Canis lupus familiaris: one gene and its partner. The protein of the gene in region 2 purifies or fractionates together with the protein of the main gene of each other region. This does not show direct contact. Links are inferred from orthologs where the notes say so. Each region holds a gene or a part of one and is shown on either strand. Other genes may lie near its edges. The genes, in order: VAMP8 and STX4.

Region 1 (12,552 bases), on a different chromosome or scaffold from region 2:
GGTACGATTGTGTGTCCACAATGTAGGTTGCGTGAATTTCACCTCAATAAAGAAAACAGACCCCCCGGGGAGAAGTTACTAGTTCTAGCTTTTCGGTATTTCCCTCTTCACCACAAGGGCAGCTGCAGCCCTGCCCTCATATAACCCTGCTCCTCCAGAGCCTGCCTCCATGCCCATCTCCCCTCGTGGCTGTGGCCACCCCCACCCCCTGCCTCCCCCACCACCTCAACTGTGGCTCCTCTTGGGGAAGGGGGTTGAGGGCTTCCGTCCTAGCATTGACCCTGCCTGAGCACGGCCCACATTCCTACCCTGGGCAGTCTGGGTCCCAAGGAAGTGGTTTCACCCCAGTTCTGTGGACTTTGAGTCCAGGAATGACAGACGTGAGGAGAGAGGATGACCATGGTCTGAGATAGGAGGACACAGGAGGACAAAGATTGGCCTGAGGGCTTTTCTATGCTTTTTTTTTTTTTTTCCCTCCCTGGTTCTCTGAATATGATTCCAGAACCTGACTTGCCAGGAGGAGTCCCAAATCCTGTCTTCCAACCCTGTCCCTTCCACACTCCCCCCCACCCCCAAAACAGATTGTTTTCAATACCGGAAAGCCCATGGGAGAAACAGGGACAGAGATGGCAAGAACCCTTTCCCCAAACCAAGACAGGAAAGAGTGACAATGAGGTGGAACCTGGCAGGGAGAAGGGAAGACCGAAGACAAAGAAGCCCATTGTACATGGAGGGGAAGGAGGGCCATAGGCCCTGTCCTGTGACACTGACTGAGCCCAGCCACAAGATATGGTGAGAGATGCTCACCCTCTCAGCTGAGACCCGGAGGCCCTGCTAAGTCCCAAAAGGGCAGACAAAAGACAAATAGAACTTTGAGAACCAGGGGTGCCTGGCTGGCTCAGTCAGAAGAGCATGTGACTCTTGAATTCAGGGTCATGAGTTCGAGCCCCATATTGGGTAGAGAGATTACTTAAATTAAAAAAATAAACAAAAGAACTTTGCAGAACCAAAAAGAAGGAAAAGTGGCCCAGTTCCTCTAGCACCTTGCTCTAGACTGCACCAGGGCCATAGAAAAGAGATGAAAGGAGGTCCTCAGCCTGTCTTGGCTAACACTTCTAGTAGAAAAGTAATAAAGGCACATGGCAAGGCTCAAGCCCTTAGGAGTCTTGTGTACCACCCTAAAATGGTTTTGAATTTTCCATATGTGGAAACCCTCAGAAAACTCTGGTTCTTGAGACCTGTCACAATGAATGGAAAATAGAGAAGAATGGGGAGACTCCATCTTTCTTCTCCAAACATACACTTTCTACCCCTCCAACAATGGGGCCTCAAATAGGAGAATCTCAGCCAGAAGCTGTCCCCAGGGAGAATAGAAATAGAAGGACCAAAGGCAAAAATGGAAGGGGACAAATTACCTCACATGTGAAGGGATACTGAAAGGTCTTTATTGCCCACCGGCCACCATCAGTGTCCTAGCCCCATGCTGGGCCTTCTGGATATCTCTCCAACCAACTCTGAGGGCCCATGAAACAGCCACAGTCCAACTCTCTCCTTCCGGGGGACCAAGGTGCCTGGGGCAGACAGTGTGGCAGAGGGGCCTCAGAATGAGGGGCAGGAGGACGCAGCAGCACTTCCTGCAGACAAGGATGGAAGAGAGGGCCCTTCTTGGCACCTGCTATGGAGGGTTGCCCTAAAGAAGAGGGTGGGTGGGGGGAGGGGCTCCCTATGTGGGGATGGCATGGGTGGCGAAAAGCACGATGAAGAGGATGATGATAAAAACAATCACGCAGATGAGGACAATCATCTTCACGTTCTTCCACCAGAACTTCCGAGCCACCTTCTGTGATGTGGTCTTGAAGTGCTCCGACTGTTGAGGACAAGGCAGAGTGAACCAGTGCCTCCTCCCACCAGAATAAGAAGACAGAGGCCCACATGCTATACATGTAAATGTTGAAGTGAACAGTTGAGGGAACAGACCGTTACACAAAAAATGTTCTGTCCTCCTACCCTGACAAATATACCTTCATGACAATCTGATGGGCCAGATTCAAATTTAGAATTCTAAATTCTTGCCTCCCCTCCTCTCTTCTTACCCATGCACCGTCATGTACACTGAGGGGCCTTTTACATATGCTCACACCCAGAAGTGCAACACTGTCTGCACAATCCGCCCTTGGGAGAGCACACACTGGGGCGAACGGGTGCAAGCTCCAAGTGGGCACATCTCCCTGGGACTCTGACTCCGTGCCCTATGGGGACCTCTGAGGCTAGAGGACAGACCAGGGCAGTACAGACGTCAGAGGTAAGAGAAACTGCTCTTCCTCCTCAACTGGAATTGTAGAAATTAACTTTCCCTGGGCCATGCTCCTCAGATTAGGCTGCGGAAAGAAACACTAAGTCCCAGGGAAACTAGACCCAAGCTTATGCACAAGACTTGGAAAGCCACAGCCAGTCTCTCCCTGTGGACAAAGAACCTTAGGCCCCAACCTTTGCTGGAGTATTTTGTTAGAGTTACTCCATCCCTGAGCAGCTGGCTTCAGCCCATGGCTGGAGAGAGAAAGGAATGAGGTCTAGCAAGATGTGTGGGAGATATTATTCTAGCCTTCAGCTAGCAGAGGACCCCCTGATCAAAGAATTTCACTGCTCTTCCCAGCTTCTTTTTAAAGCAGACTCAGCAAAACTCTAGCAGTTTTCCACCCCCTGCCTAGTGACTCCTCAAGAAGGCCAAAGGCCCTAGGAGTATTTTCCGGAGCCAATATTTTTGGCTTAGGGAGGTCAGGTCCAAATGATTGTCAAGGGCAATCTTCAAAGGGAAACATCAGTTTCATGGGAGGGAAGCCTAAGAATGTGAGGGCTGACTGGGCCATCTACCTTTCTGTCTCAGACAAGGCCTCCAAGAATCAGCCCCACCCACCCACCCACCCACCCAGTCACTGGAGCCATTTCCTGGACCCCAGTACCAAATAGTGGAGTAGAGCAGAATCAAAACAGGGGGCTCACTTGTCAATTCCCAAAACAAGTGAAAAGGCAGACTTCCCTCCTATTCATTTTGCCCCCAGCACCACCAATTCCCCGAGCCCCAGCAATTCACCCTCCCTCTCTTCCTCTACTGCCCAGCTCCCAGCCGCCCTGCTCCCAACCTCTGTGGGTTCCCCATCTCACTGTGGCTTCCAGATCCTCTGTCTTGTTGCGGAGATGGTCCAGGTTTTCTCCTCGGGCCAAGATCCGCTCCACATTCTGGGTCATAATATTCTTGACTCCCTCCACCTCACTCTGCAGGTTCCGCACACGATCATTTCCAACACCTCCACTGGCCTCCTCCTGGGCAGCAACGCAGGGGTTAATTAGGCGAAGTGGTGGAGGAACTGAGACTCAGCCTCAGAGGCCAGGGGAGGGGAAGGCCTAAGGTGGACTTTAGCTTTTTTTTAATGCTTGAACTGTTTACAAAGAATGTTTTCATGTATTACTCATGTGATCAAAAACAAATGCACTTTTAAGCCCCAGAAGGTGAGTGCTGATGCTAGACAGACTAGATCCAGTTTCTTTTCAGGTTCTCAGGGCCCCTGAGGAGGAAAAGAAACACAGACCCTAAATCCCACTCCACTGTTGCCTTGCTCCTCAGATGGGGGCAGAGAACTGCTGAGCTGGCATCTCACAAGGGGGAAACCCACCACTATTAACCGAAGGATCCTCATTGAAAATATCTGTGCTGGCCAGCAGAACACCCTCAGCTGCCACAACACCCCCCTCACTGCTGGACAGCAGCTGGAGAGCTGCTCCCGCCCCAGACTTCCCCAGACCTCCGGAGCTGCCTAATTGCTGTGACCCAGAGCAACAGCCACCGGGTTCCAAGGCCCTGGCCAGGCCCCAAGAGGGAGAGCCATTGCGCCATAAACTTCTGCTTTCCCCCAACACACTGCCCCATGTGCCGGCACCAACCAAGCTGCCACTGCCTCCTTAAGCAGATATTAAATAAAAACAGCAGACTGGCTGTTGAGGGAAATGGAGGGCAAGTCCTCCCTGGCTGATAAAGTTTTTGAACAGGGAGGGCAAACCATTACTAGGCTCCTCCCTCCCTGACCCCCTAGACCTCCGAAACAGGCCAGGAGCCGGTCCAAACTAGACGGATTGTCACAGAGAACCAACTTCTGGTTCTTTTACAAACCCTTCGCCTTCTTCTCCGTGTTTAAAGAGAGGGGCCCGATTCCTTAGGCCGGGCAGAGAGAGACGGATTCTTGGAGTTTCTCGACAGGATAAAGGGAAGGGCCGACGGGGAGGGCTCCCGCCGCTGGGCTGGAATCCGCCCTGGGAACTTCGGAGGCGCTGCCCAAGGGGGGTCACCGGGCTCGGCGCCCGGCGGGCCGGAGGAGGCCAGGAAGGGCCTCTCAGCGGCTCCCGGCCTGGAATTCGGAGCCTCCACCCCCACCGGAGCCCCGCTCCGGGCCAGCTCCGAGGGCAGGGGAGGGAGAAGGCGCGGGGGCAGCCGCCCGGGCAGCCAAGTTGTCAAAGGAGAGCGGCCACCGGCTGCACCGGGCCAGCCCTCCGACTTGGCCAGCGGCCCTGCGACCCCCGCCCCCAGCCCCCCGCCCCCAGCCCCCGCTCGCCTTTCGCTCAGCCCCTCGCGAGCTCCCAGCGCGCTCACCATGTCTCCAAGCGGCTCGGGCCTGGCGGCGGCGAGACTCCCTCGTCTGTTTCCTCCCGGGCGGCCCTCGCTTCACTTCCTGCTCGCTCCAACTTCGAGCCTGCCCCCGCCCGCCGGCATCCCGAGCGGCTCCAGCCTCACCTAGCGCGGGCCGGCAGGTAGGCGGGCGCCCTCCGCTGCCCTCCCAGTCTCCTCCCAAACCTGGGCTCGGGCTTAAAGCAACAGGGCTCGATCACCAGAGATCTTCTAACGCATCAGAACCAGAAAAAAAAAAAAGAAAAAGAAAAAGAAGATCAAGCAGCCCTCCTAGGTTTCCTGAGGCTGGACCTCCTGATATAGATAGGGAAGCTGGCTCCGCCCCCCCCCCTTTTTTTTAATGTCCTGAATATCTGACTCCAAATCTTAAACACTGAAGTCAACTCTAAGTACACCACCAGGGGTAGTTCACATGGAAACAGAACACAGATATGAAAGTTTCTTGCTAGCAACCCCTGTTCCCATGTTCAGGGGTGGACAGAAAGTATTAAAATCCCCCCAAGTCTGGAGTGCTGTAATCCTAGGCTGTGGTGTCAGAAAGCTCCGGATTACTAGTGTGACCCTGAGTGAAATTCTTCACCTCTCTGGTTTTGGCAGGTGCTAATGCTGACCTCAGAGGATGGTGGGGACGTATAACAGGATAGCACACTCAGTGTGCCTGCCACAGTTTCTGAAAGGAAGACCTGTCCACTGTTGGGACGAGGGAATGATGGCTTACCAATCCCTTCTTCCCTTCCAGAGTTCAACATTTCCTTCAGAAGCCGCTTTGAGGGGTTGGTGAGCCTACTCAGAAATGGTCAGAGGCCTGCCCTATGGACAAGAGAAGGGCCCCAGGCAAAGGATTTTTCCACCACCTGGTTCCAGGCCACAGAATATCTAGTCTTCCCAGATGGTATTTATCAAGACAGAACAAAAACAGGGACAGGCAAAAGAGAACAAACATTCCTGTCCCATCCCAGAAGTATTATTAGTTCTTTTTTTTTTTTTTTTTTTTTTAGTATTATTAGTTCTAAGAGAGAAATGTCAGTTTCTCTAACACATATTTTGTTAAAGGAAATGACAATTTCTGGACCTCTGTTTTGAGATACTTTATTCTACTTTATAATGAAATCTTATCTCCAATTAAATAAGATTATTATATTTTGCAAATCTGAAATTTGATGGACAGTACCAGCCTACTTTCACAGAGAATGTGGCTGTCTCACTTCTCATCATCCTTAGAAAATCTATAAAGAAGAAAAAAAAAAAAAAAGAAAATCTATAAAGAGGTCAAGTGGAGATGGGTCAGAATCCTTGATCTGTACTTATGCTGTCCATTACCATAGCCACTGACCATATATGGCTGCTGAGCACTTAAACTGTGGCTAGTCTGAATTGAGAAGTGATGTAAGAGTACACACAGTATTTCTTTTTTTAAAAGATTTATCTATTTATTCATTTGAGAGAGAGAGCACAGGCACACATACATCAGGAGGGGAAGGGCAGAGGCAGAAGGAGAGAGAATCTCAAGTAGACTGCTCTCTGAGTATGGAACCCTGCACTGGGCTCAGTCTCAAAACCCTGAGATCAGTGATCTGAGCTGAAATCAAGAGTGGGATGCTCAACCCACTGAGCCATCCAGGCACCCCAAGTATTTCAAAGACTTTTTTTTTTTTAATTTACTTACTTGAGAGAAAGAGCATGAGGCAGGGGAAAGGGCAGAGGGAAAGGGAGAAGCCGGGAGCACAATCCAGGCTCAATCCCAGGACCCCAGGATCATGCCCTGAGCTGAAGGCAGACACTTAACTGATACTGATAACATGTTGAAATGATGTTGTGGATTTATTGAGTTAAATTTTAAAAATTGTTAATGCTCATTTCACCTGTTTCTTTTAATTTGATGAGTAGAAAATTAAAAATTACAAATGTGGCTCAAATTATATTTCCATTATAAGACACACTGATCTATGCATTAATATTCATGTGACCTTGGACAGACTGATGTGACATCTATAAACCTCAGTTACCTCACCATCTATGCCTGGCACTGAAACAACCCTCAGTAAATGGTGGCTATTATGATTACTATTATTAATGATTCCAGATGCTAAGTGCAGTGGTGGGTAGGGACATAGGATAGGTGCCAAGAAACAAAGTAGGATGTCTGAGGAGAGCATAAAGACATGGAGGAGGATTTCCAGAATAGAAATTAGGGTTACAGGAATGCCTGGGTGGCTCAGCGGTTGAGCGTCTGCCCTCAGCTGAGGGTGTGATCCTGGGCTCTGGAATCAAGTTCCACATTGGGCTCCCTGCAGGAAGTCTGCTTCTCCCTCTGCCTATTTTTCTGCCTCTCTCTCTGTATTTCTCATGGATAAATAAATAACATCTTGAAAAGAAAAAAAAGAAAGAAAGAAATCAGGGTTACAAGATTTGAGGAGTGACCAGGCTCTAGCATGCTGCTGGCAGCTTTGGACATACATTGGTGTCCCTGGGGGAGCTGACCCTTGGCCTAGGCCCAGAAACCACTGGGGAGATTTTCCAGCACCCACAGTTGGGACTGCAACGTGCTCCCCCTCCTCTTCACCATGCAGAGCCCCTGCAGTCTTGGCCTCTCCTGTAGGAACATCACAATTCTATCCTTTGTCAAAAGACCACCTTGCTAATGCCCTCAGAAGATGAGACATTCAGTAAAGTACCAAACAATGAACTGTGAGCAGAAATGGTACTATGGGGGGTGCATGGCTGGCTCAGTTAGAAGAGCATGTAACTCTTGATCTTGGTGTGGTGAATTAAAGCCATGTTTGGCCTAGAACTTACTTTAAAAAAAAGAAAGAGGGGATCCCTGAGTGGCTCAGTGGTTTAGCATCTGCCTTTGGCCCAGAGCGCGATCCTGGAGTCCCGGGATCGAGTCCTGCGTCAGGCTCCCAGTATGGAGCCTGCTTCTTGCTTCTCCCTCCTGTGTCTCTGCCTCTCTCTCTCTCTCTATGTCTATCATAAACCAATCAATCAATCAATCTGAAAGAAAGAAAAGAAAGAAAGAAAGAAAGAAAGAAAGAAAGAAAGAAAGAAAGAAAGAAAGAAAGAAAGAAAGAAAGAAAGAAAGAAATGGTACTATGGGCAGGGTACGAGAAGAGAAATAAGTCATCGATTCCTTTGCAGTCAAGGAAGGCTCTATCCCAGGAGAAATGGAGTAGCAGTCACTTTGCAAAGAAAAATGCTAGATGGTAAGAGTTGTACTAAAGAAGCAATCATGATGTGATGAAGAGTGTTCTCAGTGCCTGTGTGATCAGAAGATTTGGGTATCAGCTCCACTATTCCCTGGCTATATAGACTTGGGCAGGCCACTTCCCTCTAGGAGCACCAGTATTCTCATCTGCAAAATGGGAAGAAGAATGAAAGCTGCTTTGCAGGGTTATTATTAGGGTTAAATAATACAGATATATATTTCTATATTCCTGCTAAAGCACTTTACAAGTGAAAAAGGAGACTGATAGAGAAAATAAGATTAGACAATAGTGGAAGAGGAATATTAACAGCCTGCAAAGCAACCAGGCAAACTTTGAGAGTGCATTGACCTCGATGCTAGTCTTCTTATTTATGGCATAAATGGGGAGTTTGCTTCTATAGCTCTCTGGGGAAAGGCTGGAAAACAAGGAAAAGGAGCATTCAGGAGGCACACCTGGAATTGCTCCCTGAAGGATCAGAAAGCTCTCACCACTGCCAAGGCCTCTTTTGCCTCCAAACCCCTTTGTTAACTGTTATACTGCTGGTTATCCCATCTGGGACAGTCACACTCCACCCCCCCACCCCCAATCATTCCCGATGTCTCATTCTCTTTCTGACTGTGCTTTTAGAACCAGAAGCTTCTACCTGTGACCATCTTCACTTTAGACTCTGCACTCTCCCAGAGCAACAGTCTTCTATGAGGCTGATTTTGCCCTCCAAGGGACATTTGACAACAGAGACGTTTTCGGTTGCCACAACTTGGCAGGGGGGGGGTGTGCTCCTGGAATCCAGTAGGTAGAAGCCGAGGATGCTAAGTTTCCTACGTGCAAAAGACAGCCCTCTCACAACAAAGTATTATACAGACCAAATGTTAATAATGCTGAGGTTGAAACCCTGATCTCCCTAGGGAAGTGCAACGCTTTATGGTTTCAGCAGCCATTTATGGGTGATCCCCAAATCTGTATCTCCAGCCCTGACCTTGTTCTCAATTGCCATCGCTGCCTCTCCAGTGCCCTCTCCACAGGCACCTCCAAAAGCCAAACCAAACCCTTTATGTTTTCTCCATGTTCCTCCTGCAGGGTGGTACTCCCATTCTACCAGTTTCCCACGCTAGCTTATCCCTAAACACATTTTATCTTTTTTTTAAAGATTTTATTTATTTATTCATGAGAGACACACACAGAGAGGGAGAGACAGAGGCAGAAGGAGAAGCAGGCTCTATGCAGAGAGCCCAATGCGGGACTCGATCCCGGGACTCCAGGACCACACGCTGGGCTGAAGGGAGGTGCCAAATTGCTGAGCCACCCAGGGATCCCACATTTTATCTTTTATAGAATCCATAATATACTTTGCCATTTGCGGCATACGCATTTGACACCTCCGAGACTCTAACTTTTGTGAAGTCGGAGGCTATGTCTTTATTTTGGTACCCCTTGTTGAAAATAACATACATCATGCAAGAGTAGTCACTCAGTAAATGTTTCAGGTATTGAACCAAAAGATCTGACAGAGAGCTTCTTTTTTTGCAGTGCAGGTAAAAATACAATTTTTATTAGAAAAGACCCATGCATGGGGGCATGGGGCACCTGAGTGGTTTGATTGGTTGAGTTGTGTCTGTCTTTGGCTCAGGTCATAATCTCAGGGTCCTGGTATAGAGCCCCACATCAGGCTCCACACTCAGTGGGGAATCTGCTTCTCCCTCCCCCTCTGGCCCTCACCCCCTGCCCCCCACATGCACTCTCTTTCTCTCAAATAAATAAATAAATAATTTTTAAAAAGAAGGAGGAAAGAAGAAGAAGAAGAAGAAGAAGAAGAAGAAGAAGAAGAAGAAGAAGAAGAAGAAGAAGAAGAAGAAGAAGAAGAAGAAGGAGAAGAAGAAAAAGAAGAAGAAGAAGGAGGAGGAGGAGGAGAAACATGAAGAAATCTCTTTCCTAAATTTTGGATCATTTTATGAATAAATGAATACTAAATGGCATGAGTCTGTACACTGATCCTGAAAGGATAAACTGGATACCCCCCAACAAAAAACAAGTCATGGGGTAGAGAGGTACTGAGTTATCACAGCTGTACTTCTCTTACCCAGAATGCTCTCTGGTCACCCAAGAACATACTAAGAACTTTTGAATTCCTTCTCTCCTCTTAAAATGATACTCATCCTTCAAAGCCCAGCTCCAAGTTTTCAGAAAACTTTCCCGAGTTCTCTAGTCGTGATTCATTTCCTCCGCAGTACTCCCGCAGCACTTTGAACCTCATGTAATACTTAGGATTTTGTACATTCTATTGTCATTATTCTATTATTTCTTTTATTTCCTTATCCTTTAACTCCTATAGGACAAAGGCCACAGCTTAATAATCTGTTTCTTTCTCTGTAACTAGTCCAGTTCTTGGCACATAACAGAATATAAATGCTGAGTTTGATGGAACCATCTAATTTTGAATGGTCTTAGAAGAGCTAGCCCAGACTTTCTGACCCACACTGAATTCATTTGAACTGGGGTTTTACAGCACAAGAGATTCATCCCCTAAATAGATCTATGGCTTCCAAGGTGACTTGTCTGTTAGGATGACCTGGAAGTGGGCCAGACCCTCCCCAGCAGGAACACTGTTAGCCCCATGATTCTACCTGCCAAATGCATCTGTCCCTAGTAATCTCTACTTTTACATATACTCCAGATATTCCTTTCCTTTAGGATAGTGGTTCTCAACACATGGTCCAAGAACCCCTGGACTCTTCAAAGACAAAACTACTTCTATATTAATACTAATACGTTATTTGTCCTTTTAACTATGTTGCCATTTGTGCTGATGATACAAAAGCAATTGGGAGTTAATGAAACGGTTGGCAACTTAGCAGGAAAGAGCCAGTGGCACCAAATTGTAGTAGTATTCAATGCATTTATTCCCCCTTAAACAGTTGCATTTTCAAAAAACGCCATTTTCAATGTCTCTAATGAAGCAGTACGAATTATTTATTTTATTAATTTTTGACACTGGAGCACACATCCTTAACTATTTTGTGTGAAGAAATGCGAAATACACAACACTTTGCATACCCAAGTATGATGGCTGTCTTCACAGTTGTTCCTAGAAAAAGCACTTGTGTCAGTAAGCTGTGAGCTGAAGTAATGTTTTTAAATTAACAGAGTTTTTTTTTTTTGAGTAGCATAGACAGTTCCCACACACCCCTTAGCACTCTCCCATTTTTCTCTCATTAGTAACATCTTGCACTAGTGTGGTATATTTGCTTTACAATTGATGAGCTAATATTGATAGATGATTATCAAGAGAATCCATAGTTTATGTTAGGGTTCACATTCCATGGGTTTTGGCAATGTATGCCCCATTTCCTGGCAACCACTGATCTTTTGCATTAAAACCAGTTTTGCCATTTCCAGTATATCAGTTTGGATTATACGTACAGTATGTAACCTTTCCAGATTGGTTTCTTTCACTTAGGGATTTGAATTTAAGGGTCCACCTCATCCTTTTGTGTTTTGATAGCTCATTTCATTTTACCACTGAATATTCCACTGTATGAATTTGCTGGTTTGTTTATCCATTCACCTATTGAAGGACATCTTGGTTGCTTCTGAGCTTGGGCAATTATGAATAATGCTGCTATGCATTTGTATACAGCTTTTGTGTGGGCATAATTTTTCAAATCATTTGGGTAAATACCAAGGAGCACAATTGCTGGATCATATGGTAAAAGCATGTTTACTTTTATAAGAAACTGCCAAACTTTTTTCCAAAGTGGTTGTACCATTTTGTATTCCTACCAACAATGAAGTAAAGTTCCTGTTGCTCCACATCTTCACCAGCATTTGTTATCGATGATGCTTTGGATTGCAACCGAATTGCTGTATGAGTTCTAGCAATCTTGGGGTGGAGACTTTTGGGTTTTCTATGTAGAGTATCATGTCATTGGCGAAAAGGGAGAGTTTGACTTCTTCTTTGCCAATTTGAATGCCTTTAATGTCTTTTTGTTGTCTGATTGCTGAGGCTAGGACTTCCAGTACTATGTTGAATAGCAGTGGTGAGAGTGAACATCCCTGTCTTGTTCCTGATCTTAGGGGAAAGGCTCCCAGTGCTTCCCCATTGAGAATGATATTTGCTGTGGGCTTTTCGTAGATGGCTTTTAAGATGTTGAGGAATGTTCCCTCTATCCCTACACTCTGAAGAGTTTTGATCAGAAATGGATGCTGTATTCTGTCAAATGCTTTCTCTGCATCTAATGAGAGGATCATATGGTTCTTGGTTTTTCTCTTGCTGATATGATGAATCACATTGATTGTTTTACGGGTGTTGAACCAGCCTTGCGTCCCGGGGATAAATCCTACTTGGTCATGGTGAATAATTTTCTTAATGTATTGTTGGATCCAATTGGCCAGTATCTTGTTGAGAATTTTTGCATCCATGTTCATCAGGGATATTGGTCTGTAATTCTCCTTTTTGGTGGGGTCTTTGTCTGGTTTTGGAATTAAGGTGATGCTGGCCTCATAGAACGAATTTGGAAGTACTCCATCTCTTTCTATCTTTCCAAACAGCTTTAGGAGAATAGGTATGGTTTCTTCTTTAAACGTTTGATAAAATTCCCCTGGGAAGCCATCTGGCCCTGGACTCTTGTGTCTTGGGAGGTTTTTGATGACTGCTTCAATTTCCTCCCTGAT
Region 2 (15,864 bases):
CGCAGCAAGTGGGAAAAGAAAAGGCAAGCTACCAGACTACTCACTGATGCTTAAAGCTTCTATCTGGAAGTGATACTTTACATCTCTACTCATATCTCACTGGCCAAAGCAAATCATATAGCCAAGCCTACTGTAAGTGAGGCATGAATGTGTATTATCCTATAGTGAGTGGTCCAGTAGGAAGGACAGTATAAATTTGGAACAACAATACAGTGTATCACAGGGCTGCACGAGAAATGCTCGTCTACTCCTCCTTTATACACACTCTGCTGCAGTGTTTTGTACCATGTAAACACTTTACATACATCATGATCAAAGTTAAAGTCTTGACTTGAATTAGACAATTTATAGGCTGGTCAAAGTAGCCTGACTCAGACAACCATGTTCCTTTTCCTGGTAATTTGAACCACAAAATGTTGAATGAATGAGGCAATAACTGGGGGGAGCTACAGCTGAAAAGTTATGATGCAAGATGGATTCGGAAAAGCCACACCCAACCAAGACCCTGTTCCCTGAAAGTTGGGCTGACAGCAAAGACAGGATTTCAGTGCAAAACCTGCCTATAACTCCTCATTCAGTTCAGTTTTCCCCAGCGAAAGGGTATATACAAGGGAACCTGTGAAAACTCCAATGCATGAGTCCACCTGACCTCTAGGTCTGCCCCAAACTTGCCACTCACCTGTTCAAAAACCTTGCATATGTCCCCTAGCCCACAGGAAAAGTTCAAATTACTGGGCCCGGCATCTGAAGCCTCACTCGGCCATCTAGATACTCCTATCAGGAGGTTCCACACGGCTTCCTGGGTAAGGCGGACAGGTAAGCAGGCTTTCAGGGGTGGCGCCGTCCCGCAAAGCCAGTCTGAAGTCACATAACGCACACTGACACATCTGATAGTCTCTATCAGATCCCAGTAGGTGCCACGGGTGGGGCAGTTTTCCTCTGAAGGCAGAAAGGTGAGGGGTGGACAAAGGCGACCTACAGGACAGGATTCCGCCGAAGATGCAGGCCGCAGGGGGGAGAGCTGGAGATTCAGGGAAGCCCAGAAGCCCCGTACTCAAATCAATGTTTTACGGGGGCAGGATCTGTGCCGCCCAGCAGTTTTCCCCTCGAGCGCACATCCAGATTGTGTTTGCACACTGGGGAGAATGAGGAGCTCTTTCCTGTAGGTATCTAGGGCTTCATCTGTACACAGGATCCCAGGGTACCCACGCCCGTGACGAAGGCGTGGGTACCCTCCCAGCTGCCAAGCTCGGCGGCTAGGGAGGGGGACCCAGCCACGCCTTCTCCGGTGAAGTCCCTGACTCACCTACCCCCGCCAGACTCTCACAAGCCAGTGCCGCCTCCGCCTCCTTTAGAGGTTTGGTCGTGCTTCGCCCTGCGATCCAATCACTTGTGGGTGCGACTGAGGACTCGCCGAGGCTCCTCCCACGTCAGTTCAGGGAGGCTTGCGGCTGAATAGCCACTCCTCACTCCCCCAGGAGGTCCCTGGACGTCCTAGGGACCAATCCCGCTGCTCCTCAGAGGCGGCGTTTACTAGCGCGCCCAATCGTGTTCCACTTGCGGCCAGGCCACGCCCCCTACACGCGGGGCAAAGCGGACCCTCGGACCTGGCGCAGGCGCCTTGCAACTGCCAGGCGAGGGTCGCTCTAAGCCCACTGGGAGGCGCTGCAGGAGGACGCCCAGATGGGTGGAGGCAAAGCAGGCAGGGGTCTCTGGAGCCTAATCCCGTCCTCTGGCTCCTGCCCTCCCCCCCGCAGGTCCAGGGGCTGGGTCCGAGACTGCACCCAGGGCATCGCGTCCACCCCTTCTATGATTCGCGTCACCCAGCACCCACATGTGTGGTACTTTGGCCCGACGGCCCAGGCAAGGGCAGCTTGGAGTAGCAGCGACGACAGCAGCAGCAGGGGCCTGTGGGATCGAAAGCGGGATGGGCTGTGGCAGCTGGAACCCGGCCTCCAGGACTTGATTGGGGTCAGGCGCTGCTCCACTCCAACCAAGCTTCGGAGCCAGGAGCTAGCTTACCCCTTGAAACCAGGTGTCTGGCGACAGGTGCCACACCCAGCTCTGGAAGCTAGGCTTCTGGACTCGGAACTCTTAGAAATTTAGAGTTGGGGCCCAGAGCTCTTAGAAACCAAGGGTCAGGCTCCTCTGTCACCTCTACTGCTTCAGCCACCTAACTCCCTAGAAGCCAGGTGTGTTGATCCGGAGTCCCCAGTGCTTTAAGCTAAACTCTTATGTCAAAGGCTATGCCTTTTTCTGGGCTCTGCCCTGCAGCCTCTCCCCCTGCTTCTTCTCATAACTGGCTCCTCCTCATTTAACAGCCCACTGAAATGTCACCCTTTCTGAGACAGGACTTTCCCTGTTCACTGTATCTGGAGTAACAGCCTCCATTACTCAACGGTGCCTCGTGGCCTCAGGAAGGCCGATGGATGCCCACACACACCTCACCTATGTCCCAGCCTACCAGGCCCAGCTTCACTGCTTTGGGGTTAGGTACTCACAGTAATCCTTCCCCAAGGACAATACTGAGCCAGATGTGGGTGTTAGCCCCTCCCTGCCCACCTGTTCCTAAGGGAGAGTAGAAGGGCAGTGCTAGCCTGCTGTGGTCACAGCACCTGAACAGTCTGATCTGAGTCTTCCTCGGATGGGCCTGGCCCCAAAGATGGCCACGGAAAGAGGAGGCCGCCTACGTAGAGGCCCTGGGCCAGCTCTTCTAGGAACATACATGCACGGGGCAGTCTCCAAGCTCATTTTTCTGTTTGTCTTTTTTTACTTTCTTACAAAACCATGTGTCCCAGCCAAACAGGACGCTGCAGGCCTTCCCCCAGGCATTGTGGCCTGAGTGGAGAAGCCCCCATGAATGAGTGGCTGCCAACCCCAGAAGAACTGTCTGCCCCTCTGCACAGGGCCAGTGTGAGGAAGGGGGTCCAGTTGGAGGCTCTGTCCTGCCCTCCCCCCTCAGCTGCTGGGAGAGAAGGCGGACCCGGGTCCCCGGTGTTCTTAGAGCCTGTAAGGGAAGGAGGGAGAAGAGGGTCTGAGGGGAGGAGGAAAGGCAGGGGCCCAGGACGAGGCAGGCCAGGGGGCAGGCCCACAATAGCTCACCAAGAATGTGCAATGCTCTCAAACCAATGTGGCGATACCAATGATGACTGCCAGAATGACGACAGTGACAGACACACAAATGGCGATCAAGACTTTCTTCTGTGGGAGAGTTCAGGGAAACAAACTCAGAAGGGGAGGGAAGGCAACCAGGGCCTCAGACTAGAGGGGAGGGAAGGGGTGTCAAGGCTCACCTTCCGAGCCTTCTTCTGGTTCTCCAGGGCAATCTTGACATGTTCCTGCCCGCGTTCCACATAGTCTGCTGAGCTCAGGATGTTCTTCTCAATCCGGTTGATCATCTCCCCCTGCTCAGAGGAGGGGGACAGTTCAGGCAGGTAGGGATGACTGGGGGTGGAGAGCCCATCAGCTCCTCTGCTTGCTCACACTAGCTGCCTAAAGGACATTTTCTGGCAGGAAATGCAGCACTAACAAAGGTGTGGGGGTAGGACCACATCTGACCAAAGTGCACACTCCTGAGGGTGGCTTCCAGGATCCCTTTTATTATGTAGTCCCTTCTGCCCTGCTCCCTTACCCCCTACAACCTTCATTTGCAGTGGTGGCTTGGAGCCAAGCGCCTTAAGAAGCTCATACCTTGTCACAGAGGGTGAACTTCTGTCTCTTTGTAAATCTGTCTGAATTTGCTCATTCTTCTAGGCTTGCCTCTCAACAGCTGTGAAGCCCTCCCCAACCCTGCCTCCTCATGGCACTGCCAGCCTTCAGGTCCTGGTACTCCTACTGAATGAAATGCCTTCCCCATGAATCCCAGCTGCACAAGGGCATTGGCTGCAGCACTAGAGGCCGGCAGCTTACCTCACCTCACACAACGGGGGCAGCAGAAGAACACCACCTCCCACCCCAACCTCATTCAGATCTGTGGAGGCATGCCCCCTAAGGAGCATCTTTGAGTAGAACTCTTAGAGGTATAAGGGTGGATTCTATTGGTGGAGGAGGAGCCAGAGTTGGGCTACATCCTGGGTAGCTCAACTGGGAGACAGGGTAAGATGGTGAGTGTAGAGGAGTGGCCATCTGTGTAATGTGGAGGTGGAAGCAATTCTGGGGCTCAGCTACAGATGGGAGTGAGGGCCAGCCTGGGGGCATGGCCCAGCCTGGAGGGGGATGAAAGCCTCGGGGAGAGAGGCTAGAGAGTGGAGATGGACTGACAGACACAGTGGGGTTTCTGACTGAACACGGTCTCACATCAAGCCCAGCCAGCTGTCTTGCCCACCTGCATCTCCACTTCTGTAGCCAGGAAAGTGAAAATCTCATGAAGTTCACGGATGCTGCGTTCAAGCTGCTGTATCTCACTGTGCCGGGCTGAGATCTCATTTAGGGCCTGTCGAGTCACCTGCGTGTCCTTCAGGATCTGGGGAGCAGATAGGAATGGCCAGACAGGTCACAGGGAATCCAGCAGCAGATCAGAAGTTCCTGTTGAGCTTTCAGGCAGCCCTCAGGCTTAGAACTGGGGCCAGGACCTTGATGAGCGACCCTAGGCATGCTAAGTCATTCCCTTCCAGGCCTCTGTATTCCCTCAATCAAAGGGGACCAGGCCTCAGCGAAGATGAGAGTCCCAGAAGAGGGAGGCTAGCCATGACCACTCACATTGGATACAAACACCTCGCTTTGCCCACTGTCCAGCATCTGCTCCAGCTCCTCATCAGACACCATTCCAGCATTTGCTGTGAAGGAAAAGGTCAGGCTCAGAGCTGGGTCAGGTTACCTGACCCTGTAGGCCAGACACCACAACTCACTGATCTTCAGCTGCCTCCGAATCCGCTCCACATTCTTCTCCCGGTACTCGGACTGCATCAAGTTGCACTTGTTGATGAGCTCCACGAATTGCTGGGACAGGACCCCATGCTGATGATAGAAAATATAGGCTGGGCACCCCGGAAGGATTTGGCCTTAACATCCCCATAAGTATAGGGAGCAAACAGCATAAGCTGTTCTAGGAGCCTGCTGCCTTGACCACCATTCTCTCAAGGTCAAAGCCAAAGCCTTTACTAGGGCTTATAAGGCCCTATTGGACCTTCCCTTCCCCATTTCCCCTCTGACTTTATGTCCTCCAGCTGTTGCCTCACTCGCACCCTCTGACCACAGTGGACTCCTTCCTCCCCCCACCAAAGCCACCCCTACTTCAGGCTTTGGCATTCACTGCTCTTTGGGCCTAGAATACTCATGCCTCACAGAGACATACATACATACATTTATTTATTTATTTATTTATTTATTTATTTATTCACAGAGGCCTTTAAATCTTTATTCCAATGTCACCTTCTGAATGAAGTTTTCTCTACCTTATTAAAACTGCAACCTGCCTTCTCCCGTCACTCTCAATCCTCTTCTCCTCAGTTTTTCCCTTAATACTTAACTACCGTCTGGGCAGCCCGGGTGGCTCAGTGGTTTGGCGCCGCCTTTGGCCCAGGGTGTGATCCTGGGGACCTGGGATCGAGTCCCATGTTGGGCTCCCTGCATGGAGCCTGCTTCTCCCTCTGCCTGTGTTTCTGCCTTTCTCTCTCTGTCTCTTATGAATAAATAAATTAAAAAAAACCCTACGTTCTAAAATAGTGGGCATATTTATTATGGTGTGTGTCTCGCCCCACCAGAACATAAGTTCCATGAAGATTGGGCTCTTTGGTTCACTGCTGCATCCTAAACAGCTAGAAAAGGGCCTAGCACACAGTAGGCACTCAATAAATACCTTTGAATGCTTGCTGAACACCAGCCTTGCAGCTTAGACTAAAGGTATGCCTGGAGGTCAGCCCATTGCCCAGCTCTTACAGGTCCGGCTGGACCCTCAGCCTCTCACACCAATGACTACCACAGTTTCCCCCTGAAACATCCTCTTATCTTGTCCATTCTCTTGCTTCCTTCAATGTGCTCATTCCTTGGAGTTCCTTCCTTAGAGACATATTTGCTCTCCTGCCTTCACCACATCATTGTAAGATACCCAAACTGCCCTATCTTCAATCCAGGGTACTTTCTGGGCCCACCTACACCAACTCTGACCTCCAGGAACTCCAAATTACTCCTCCCTGGGCACCCAGACAAGGGCAGTTAGATCGCCTCAAATCTCCTCACTAAGATGTTGATTCAGTGACCTTCTCCCTCCAGGGAAGTTCCTCTTCTTGATTTCTTGAATTCTGCCCATGGGGCAGAGGATGACCCTGTCATATGGGCAGGAAAGCTCCCTGTCATTTATGACCTTTCCCTCTTCTTCCCTGGGCGGGGTTATTAGCTACCACACCCTACCTGAGTAATGTCTTTGTCATCTAGTCAAGCTTGACTCACCATGTTGGTTTCTAGAAAGCATGCCTTCCACAACCAAGCCCAGATCACATCTGGGGATTCAGCAACTTCTCATGAATGGAGAAGGCGACAGGATGTTAGGTGGATTGGGAGTCAGGAGACTTTGGGTGAGATTTTTTTTCTCTCAGCCTCAGTTTCCCCACTTGAAAATCATTAGGTTGGACTTGATGATCTCTAAGGGCCCTTTCCCCTTACTTTTGCCACCTAATGGTCTATGAAACCCTGCAAAATGTCTTAGTTCTGGGAATAATAAACCCACCTGGGTTTTTCTCATCCTCGTGTTGACTGAGTTATAATTCTCATCAGCTTCTTCATTCTGGGGCTCTATGGCTGTGGGAAGACACAAGGGGATTGGTGGGGAAGGAGATTTGATCTGTGTGGCTTCAGAAAATCATGTGGGAACCAGGACACAGGGCCAGGGCCATACCCCATCCATACAATAGAGAGGTGCTTATCTCCACAGAATTATTTTGGGAATTATATTTTATCATAAATGACTAATTATGAGCCTCTGACGGTAGCTCAAGTGTATTTTTCTTTGCAATACTGAGCCACACAGTCCCCAGATATACCAGGAGCTGGGCAGGACCACAGGGAAGGGTCTGTCTGAGGTCCTAGGGGCTCACCCTTCAGCTGTGCTCGGATCTCCCTCCCCAGCTGTTTGATCTCCTCACGCAGGTTCTGCAGGTCCTGCTTCATACCTGAAGAAGAGAAAGCCATGACTCCCAGACAGCGGCTCCTACCTCAAACCAACCTGCCTGGCCACCACCTGCACGGAACTACAATCCCCACAATCCCTCTGGCTGAGCATGCGTTTGCACTTGGGGTTTCACTCACTCTCCTCGGGAAGGGGCGTGGCCAGGATGGTGACCTGCTGCTTCTCCAACTCCCGGACTTTATTCTCCAGCTTGACAATAGTCTGTCGAATTGTCCGGACCTGGGGAAGGTGACCGAGAGGGCTGAGGGAGATGGGGGATACTCCGGACCGCGCTGCTCCTCGGATCATCCAGCCCCCTCATGAAGACAGGCGGAGACCCCAGCCTCTTACCTTTTGGAAGAACTCCTCGTCCGGGCTCCCCAGCCGTGCCGTGCCCGGGTGTACCACCAGCGCGACCCGCTCCTTGTCCTCATCGTCCGAACTGTCATCCCCCTGCCACGGCCGGGGTGGTCACTGGCATCACTTCCCTGCGGTTGCTCTCTCCCCGCAGGACTCACAGACTTCCGGGTCTTTCCTTCCTAGCCCTCAGCCACCCCTCCCTGTCCCGAAGACCGGGAGTCCTGTATGCCAGCCAGACCCCAGCCCGTCCGCCCACCCCCAGCCCTGCAGCCCCCTCTCACCTGTCTCAGTTCGTGGGTCCGGTCGCGCATGGCGGCCCGAGCTCCCTCTTCCCGGCGCCGGAGCCCCGAGGGCCTCGAGACTAAGTTTGGAACTCCCGTACCCCACTCACACTCTGACACTGACACTTCCCTCCGCCCTCACCCTGCGGACCCCCGGGCCCCCCCACGAGCCACCAGAGGCTCCGTCCCGGGCACCATCCACAGTCAGTGGGAAGCAGCCGACCCCGGGGACCCCCCAAGATTCCACAGGTTGGAATTCCCTTTTCTTCCCCCCCTCCCGTCCCCGTAGCCTCGGCCCCGCCCCTCTGGGATGATCGGGGCATGCGCACGGGGTCGCGTCTCTTCCTCGCCGGAGGGAGCCTGAGGTCGGAAGCTGCGGCGCCCCGAACGGAAGCAAAGCTGCCAGGACGTGAGAACCCGCCCCCTTCGCCGGAACTGTCGCATCTACCAACGGAAATCTAGTTGCCAGACCGGGTGGGAGTGCGTCATTGATACGTAATCTCAGAGGCCCTGCATCTCACATCACCCCATGGTGCCCCCCCCACGTCACATGACCAGCCCGGTCCCACCCTCGCGGACCTCGGAACGTGACACTTTGATTGTCACGTGCCCCGGCGCTGTCAACTCCGTCTCTGGAGCACCTTTCTCCCCACGACGTCTCCGGGACCCTGGCGCCCAAGCTACGCCCCTCCAGCCTTCGCGAGGCGGGGCGGGGGCTGCTGACTACCCCCAGAGACCGTTTGAGGCAGTGGGTGGTAGGACCCTCGCTGAATTCGGCTTCATTTTCTTTTGGGTCCAGGGACGTGGGCAGACGGAGAACTTAGAATTCGGGGCTGTCAGCATCATGGGACCTTGAGATTCAGAAAATAATAAGATCCAGCGTCAGAGAATTGCAGGGTTTTGTAGGCAGAGAATCTGGGGGTGGAAAGTGACCTCACCCAAGGCAGAAATCTCTCCTCCCGCATCCTCCTGGCGCAGCCTCTGACAGGTGGGCGGCTGGCGCCCTGCATGAACACTGCAGTTCCGCCGCACTCACCACCTTCCGAGCATAAGACCATTTCAGGGCAACTAAAGCTGAGAAAAGTGTCTGTATTACATTGAGGAGTCTGCCACTTAACATCTAACTCCCTCCCTCCCTAGCATCTGGGTCTACCCTCTGAAGCCCGCAAAAAAATCTGCACACATTCCCCATTATAGTGGACCGTGGGCTCTTGAGGTCAGGGCGCCGCAGTCTTGTTCTTACCTGAATCCCCAGGGCCTATTTCAGTACCTATCACATATGGGCCCTCAATAAATATCTGTGGACAGAACTTTAACCTTTCATGTATCTGAAGATAAAGCTTGTCTTTTGGGCTTCAGCCTCTCACGGTGACACTGCCCTAGCCCACTAGATGGTCATTCATTCAATGGATATCCATTTATTGGGCACTTATTATGGCCAGAGACTGTTGTAGGGGTCGGAGATAAATCAAGGCCTAACTGACAAAAACCTTTCACTTGTGAAACTTACATTATGTGAGAGCAGTCTCCAAGGCCACAAAGTGAGTCTCAGCATAGCCAGAATAAAAATCAGGTCTCCTGGATCCCAGGACTCTTTCCAGAGAACTTACATGAAGGTTCAAGCAAAAGAAAGACTGGCCCCTCTCTAGTATGTCCTGGTAAGGAAATCTGTATTGTGATCAACTCTGTGATTGAGTTGCTATGGATTTCTGGAAAGTCATGTCTTTGTCTCTGGGCCTCAGTATCCCATCTGTAGGATAGATGGCATAGCAAGATGGAGAGATCATCTTTAGATCATCTTTCCCTGCTCTAAAGTCCATTGATTATGAGGTTGGAAAGTATAAACTGCTGTCTGATTCTATTAGAAGGGCTTTGATCCTTCCCTTCCCTTCTGTCCCCTTCAGAACCCAGCTCGCCTGGGGTAGGGAACAAAGGAGTGAAAATGGTGTGCTGCTCTGATCAACCTACAGGAGAAATGAAGGGTTGGAGGGTTTTTCCAGAGGCCAAGCCCTGCTCCTTGGGGTCTCCTGGAGATCATGAAAGGTTTCCCCACTCTTGGGTCTTCAATGTCAGCCTCCCTGCCTCCCTGCCTCCCTTTCCTTCTTTCTGTCTGTCTGTGTCTCATACTCTGTCTCAAGGGGCGGGGGGGAGGGCAGTGGAAGGGCTTTAGGAACTTGGACTCCCAGTCCTGAATAACTTAATGATCTTGATCTTGAATAACTCGTTGCTCTTCTCTGGGAATTAGTTTCTCCATTTGACAACTTGGTCTGGTGATTTCTAAGGTAAGAATTGAACAGTATCAGGAGGCCTGGTGGCTCAGAGGTTGAGTTGCCTGCCTTCGGCTTAGGTCATGATCCCGGGATCAGGGATTGGGTCCGCATTGGGCTCCCTGCGGGGAGCCTGCTTCTTCCTCTGAGGGTGTCTCTGCCTCTCTATCTCTCTCAGTCTGTGTCTCTCATGAATAAATAAATAAGTCTTTTTTTTAAAAAAAAGAATTGAACAGTATCAAGTGAGGTGAGAAAGACTCTGGAAAGCTCCTATGAACTACCAAGGGTTGCCCACTCTCGGGGCTGTTATGATCATGGACTCCAGCTATCTCTAGGACCACCAGGCCCACTTGCCTCTCTGTTAGTCTCTTGATGGTTTGCTTCTTGGTTCCCAGCTTTGATCTAGAGTTGTTGGTGCCTTTGTTAAATTTCCCAGGACTATAATATTCATTATTGTATTTGTGGTCTCTGGGTGGGATCACAGGGCTTTGGAATGGTGGCTTAAGGTCACAGGAGGCTGAGCTTAAAGCCTCATGGAGTGGTATGTAGAGACAGTGGGGAGCACCGTCTCCTGTGCTCCTGGGGAGCACAGGCCATGCAGGGAAAATAGCTCTGGGGATGGAGCTTCCAGAGCTGAGCCCTTATCTCTATTTCATGGTTTTGGGCGTTATTCCTCTTGGCCCCTCTGAACAACCTTGATGAATGTATTAAGCATACTGGGTCTGGGAGGGGTAGATACTAGGGACGTGTGTGTTTTCCTTCCAGCGTGCAGGAAGGTCAGGCCCTACCCAGTCCTGAGGCATGGCGGTCTGTCCTGTCTTCTCCACTGCAGGTCCATCCTACCAACATCCTACCTATACTGGAGCCAGAAGCCCCGGGCTGGAATCCCAGCTCCTTCACCTCATCACACAATTCTCCAAGGCAAGTTACATAACCTTGCTATGCCTCAGTTCCCTCATTTGAGAAATGGGAACCATAACAGTACCAACCTCATAGGATTGCCAGAAAAATTAAATGAGATGATACGTGTAAAGTGAATAGAACAGAGTGTGGTACAGAATAAATGCTATGTATGTGTTTGCTGCTGTTATATGCTGGTGATGATGGTGATTGTTGCCTGAGGGTGTCAGCAGTGCCAGTGTCTCCGCAGGGATTCCACTCTGTGGGTTGTTCAGATTCTTCTTCCGCTTTCCATCTGTGCCTGACTGTGCATCAGATACCAGGCTAGAGGCCTTGCCATGGTCTGCACGTCTCTCCTGTTTCGCCCTGGATCTGACACACCATATATTTTAAAGTATTATTTATATTTATTTTATATGTTGTCTGTCTTTACCCCTTCCTGTCCACCTACCAGAATATAAGCTCCGTGAAGACAGGGATTTCACCTGCATTATTCACTGCTGTGTCCCCAGTACGTCCAACACTGCCTGGCAAATGGTAGCTGGTAAATAAATATGAATGAATTAATGAATGAAATTACTAATTTAATTTTTATATAGCATTTACTATGTGCCCAGCACCAACATAAGCACCTTGGAAATACTAACTCATTTAATTTTCATAGCAGTTCTATGGGATAGGTACTGTTACTGTCCATATTTTACAGAGGAGGAAACTGACCCACAGAGGTATTAAGTCATTTGCCCAAGGCTTCACATTAGTGCAGGACAGAGTTGGGATTTGAACCCAGAGAGTGGAGCTCTGGGTTCTGTGAGGTTCTCTTGAGCTCTTATCCACTCCACTATGATCCAAGGAAAACGTGGGTTCCCTGTGTCCACCTACCTTTGGTAACTTGCTGCCACCTATTGATGCCCTGCTCATCATCTGTGGGGAGGAGGGGGAAGACTTTGCCTGCAAGACTGAGCCTTCTCCCCTCCTCTGTCACAGGGTCTCTCTCCCACACCTGCTGGGTGGGGCTGACCGCTGGGGAGGCTGTTTGTCCTCTCCCATCTCCCTGTTTGCTCTGTCCCCAGAAGCCAAGGATATTTATGCATGTTTCATATAAAGGGCATCCGTTTATCCTACAAGTCTCTGAGGCTGTTTTGTGCCAAGCCCCCACAGCTCTCTCTTCGTGATTATGTTCATGGCCTGACCTTGACCACTCCCTAGAGTTCTACCTGAGAACTTCTAATCAAACGCTACATACACTCTTGTGACTTTAACTGGCATGCATATGCTAGCTCCCAAATTCGTGTCTCCAGGCCTAAGTTTTCTCCTGAGCTCCAGACTTCTGATTCCACTTGCCTACCGGACATCTCCTCCTGGAGGTCCCATAGGCACCTTAAATTCAACCTGTTTCAAACAGGATGCATCGTCTCCCCCCTGAGACTCTCCTAAACAAGCTTCTGTTTCTCCTGTTGCCTCTCCCTGTGGGTTACTCCCGATCACGTGTGCCATAACCTTGGCCTTGAACTTCATTTTAAAAGTGATGGATCACACAATTTGTCATGATAAGCTCCCCTAAAAATACTAGAAGAAAATATGGGAAAAATCCTTTCTAACACTTGGAGTGAGGAAGCCTTTCCAACTCCATCTCAAAATTCAAAAGCTATAAAAGATTAATACAGTTGTCTACCTGGAAAAAATCTGCATGGCAAAAAAACATTAAAGCAAAATCAAAAGACAAACAACAAATGTAAGAAAAATATTTGCAATTCTTATCATATACAAAGGGTAATCTTTCTACTATTTAAAGAGCTTCCTCATATTGATAAGAAAGACCAACAATTTAATAAAAACTGGGCAAAGAACATGACAGATCACAAAAGAGAAAATATATAAGGTCTTTTTTTTTTTTTTTTTTTTTTTTTTTAGATTTTATTTTTTAATTCTTATTTATTTATGATAGTCACAGAGAGAGAGAGAGAGAGAGAGGCAGAGACATAGGCAGAGGGAGAAGCAGGCTCCATGCACCGGGAGCCTGATGTGGGATTCGATCCCGGGTCCCCAGGATCGCGCCCTAGGCCAAAGGCAGGCGCCAAACCGCTGCGCCACCCAGGGATCCTTTTTTTTTTTTTTTTTTTTTTTTTTTAGATTTTAAAGGTCTTAAACACATATGCAGATGTTCACTTTCACACATAATGAGAGAAATGAAAAGACAATACTGAAATACCATTTTTTCCTTTATTGCATTAGCAATTTTAACCCATTTGTCTGACAAAACACTCTTTTGGCAATACCATGGGAAACTTGTTGGTAGGAATGCAAAATGATACAAATCAGACAATATTTATCAAAATTATAAACTTATGTACACTTTGAATCAGCTTTCTCACTTGTGAAAATCTATCTGAAAATCTATCTGGATCACTTAGCTATTGCTTCCCAGGAAACCACCTTAACACTTACTGGCATAAAATAACAATGATTTATTGTTTCTCCAGATTCTAAGAATGGTCAGATGGTTTTCCTGCTGATCTTACCTTAGATTACTCAAGTGGTAGCAGTCAGCTGGCACCTCAGCTGGGGCTGGATGGCCCGTGATGGCTGTCACTCACTAGTATGAGACCTTAACTCTGATGGCTCAATCAAGGGATGGCTAAGCCACTCTCTCCATGTGGTATTTCATCCTGAGTTTGTTTAATTGTTTGTTTATAGGTAAGCTCTATCCCCCATGTGGGGCTTGAACTCACAACCCTGAGATCAAGGGTTGTATGCTCTACTGACTGAGCCAGTCAGGTCTCCCAGCCTGAGTTTCTTCTTAGCACAGTGTCCTCATGGTTCCAAAAAGGTGAGAGGAGAAGCTGCAAAGTCTCTTGAGACCCTGCTCAGAAGCTGTGTGACATTGCTTCTGCCATATTCAATGAGTCCAAGCAAGTCACAAGTCCATGCCAGCTGCAAAGGGGGGGGAGGGGAGAAACAGAATTTTAATTCACTGTATATTCCTATATTTCCCTATATATCTTTCCTATATTTCACTATAAGAAATGACGTATACATCGGTGTTATTCTTTGGATATTGTTTGCAAATTTGTCCATCAGCAGGTAGGCAGCTGTCAAAAAGGATGAGGATATTCATCACAAATAATGTGAGAGTGCTTTAAAATATCATTAGTCAAATACCAAGATGTGGAATGAGTTATCATGCTACTGTGGTATAAGAAAAAAGTGTTGGGATGCCTGGATGGCTTACTGGTTTGGCGCCTGCCTTCGGCCCAGGGCGTGATCCTGGAGACCCGGGATTGAGTCCCGGGTCGGGCTCCCTGCATGAAGCCTGCTTCTCTGTCTCTGCCTCTCTCTCTGTGTGTCTCTCATGAATAAATAAATAAAATATTTTTTAAAAAAAGAAAAAAATGTGTCAGTGTGTGCATGCATGCACACACGTGTATATGTTTGCTTGTATCGTTAAATCCTGGAAAGTTACAGAAGAAACTAATAAAAGTGGTTCCCTACAGATGTTTCCTGAGAACAAGCTGGCAAGAACAGCTGTCAAAAGTAAGAATGTTCACTGTAAATCTTTTATATTATTTAGATTTTTGAATCACGTGCAAGTATTACCTATTTTAAATAATCGTATCAAAGAAAGAAGGTACCTTTGAATAATTTCAAACAAAGAAATATGTCTTAGTCAGCTTGGGCTGCTATAACAAAATACCACAGGCTGGCAGGCTTAAACAACAGACATTTATTTCTCACGGTTCCGGCGGCTGGAAGGAGAAGATCAAGGGGCCTGAAGATTCAGTTCTTGGAGCGGGGTCTCTTCCTGGATTGCAGATGGCTGCCTTGCTGCATGTTTGCAAGAAGAAGCCCTGAGGTCTCTTCCTTTTCTTAGAACATCTCTAATCCCATCAGAATCTCCACCTTGTAACCTCACTTAAATCTAATTATCTCCCAAGGGCCCCACATCCTGATACCATTACAGCAGGAGGGGGGGCGGATATTAGGGCTTCAACATATGAATTTGGGGTGGAGGGCACAGACATTCAGCCCACAATAGAATACTATGATCAAACTTTCATTTTACAAGGACTCTGCCAGTGGCCATGTGCAGGGCCATACAGATGGCTGTGCCTATGTACGCATGGGGGCTATCACACAAGAGAGGCACCAGCCACATCTTAGACACCTACATATTTGAATATTTATTACAATTGTCTGGCAGATGGAGGTAGAGCATATTGAGGAAGGGATACCTTTTTCTATTTGCACAAAGGCACAATAGGGGTTGGCAATAGCCCTGGTCAGGAGAAGATTGATTGGGAAATCAGTTATGAATCACCCCCTGGCCAAAAATAATGAGGTGATGGGACGCCTGGGTGGCTCAGTTGAGCATCTGCCTTCGACTCAGGGCATGATCCTGGAGTTTCAGGATCAAGTCCCACATCAGGCTTCTGGTGAGGAGCCTACTTCTCCCTCTGCCTGTGTCTCTGCCTTTTCTCTGTGTCTCTCATGAATAAATAAATAAAATCCTTTAAAAAAATTATAATGAGGTGGTTATGGAGCATCCATTAAAGTAACAGAGTCTATCAGACATTGTTGCAGTTTGGAAAAATTGGTAAGGGAATCAGAGGGACCTAGATCACTCCTGGATATCTGGCTTTTGCTATAGGTGGAGGCAAGTTTGCTCAAATAAGAGAAATTATTTAAATAAATCACCCTATAGGGGCGCCTGGGTGGCTCAGTCAGTTAAGTGTCTGCCTTTAGCTCGGGTCATGATCCCTGGGCCCTGGGTTGAGCCACATCAGGCTCCCTGCTCAGCAAGGAGCCTGCCTCTCCCTCTCTCTGCCCCTTCTTCTTATGCTCTCTCTCTCTAACAAATAAAATCTTTTTAAAAAAATAAAATAAATTGCCTATTAGGAAATGTAAAAATACTATTTATAGAAATATATACTAAAAAAATAAAAATAAAAAAAAT

The links.
Region 1: the proteins of STX4 (region 2) and VAMP8 purify together in Homo sapiens (affinity purification with western blotting; 3 studies listed by BioGRID and IntAct, with this or other methods). This does not show direct contact. The link is inferred for Canis lupus familiaris from reciprocal best matches to the Homo sapiens genes STX4 and VAMP8.

The regions. Positions count from the first base shown.
Region 1 is NC_049238.1:39,844,020-39,856,571, forward strand, and holds VAMP8 (vesicle-associated membrane protein 8), read right to left. Parts: upstream 5,528-12,552; 5' UTR 5,397-5,527; intron 4,889-5,396; 5' UTR 4,646-4,888; coding exon 4,643-4,645; intron 3,322-4,642; coding exon 3,163-3,321; intron 1,868-3,162; coding exon 1,724-1,867; 3' UTR 1,424-1,723; downstream 1-1,423. UniProt on the Homo sapiens protein: SNAREs, soluble N-ethylmaleimide-sensitive factor-attachment protein receptors, are essential proteins for fusion of cellular membranes.
Region 2 is NC_049227.1:17,343,764-17,359,627, forward strand, and holds STX4 (syntaxin-4), read right to left. Parts: upstream 8,123-15,864; 5' UTR 7,774-8,122; coding exon 7,744-7,773; intron 7,556-7,743; coding exon 7,454-7,555; intron 7,343-7,453; coding exon 7,243-7,342; intron 7,107-7,242; coding exon 7,032-7,106; intron 6,736-7,031; coding exon 6,665-6,735; intron 4,957-6,664; coding exon 4,848-4,956; intron 4,776-4,847; coding exon 4,699-4,775; intron 4,463-4,698; coding exon 4,325-4,462; intron 3,405-4,324; coding exon 3,294-3,404; intron 3,202-3,293; coding exon 3,121-3,201; 3' UTR 3,103-3,120; intron 3,008-3,102; 3' UTR 2,748-3,007; downstream 1-2,747. UniProt on the Homo sapiens protein: Plasma membrane t-SNARE that mediates docking of transport vesicles. Necessary for the translocation of SLC2A4 from intracellular vesicles to the plasma membrane.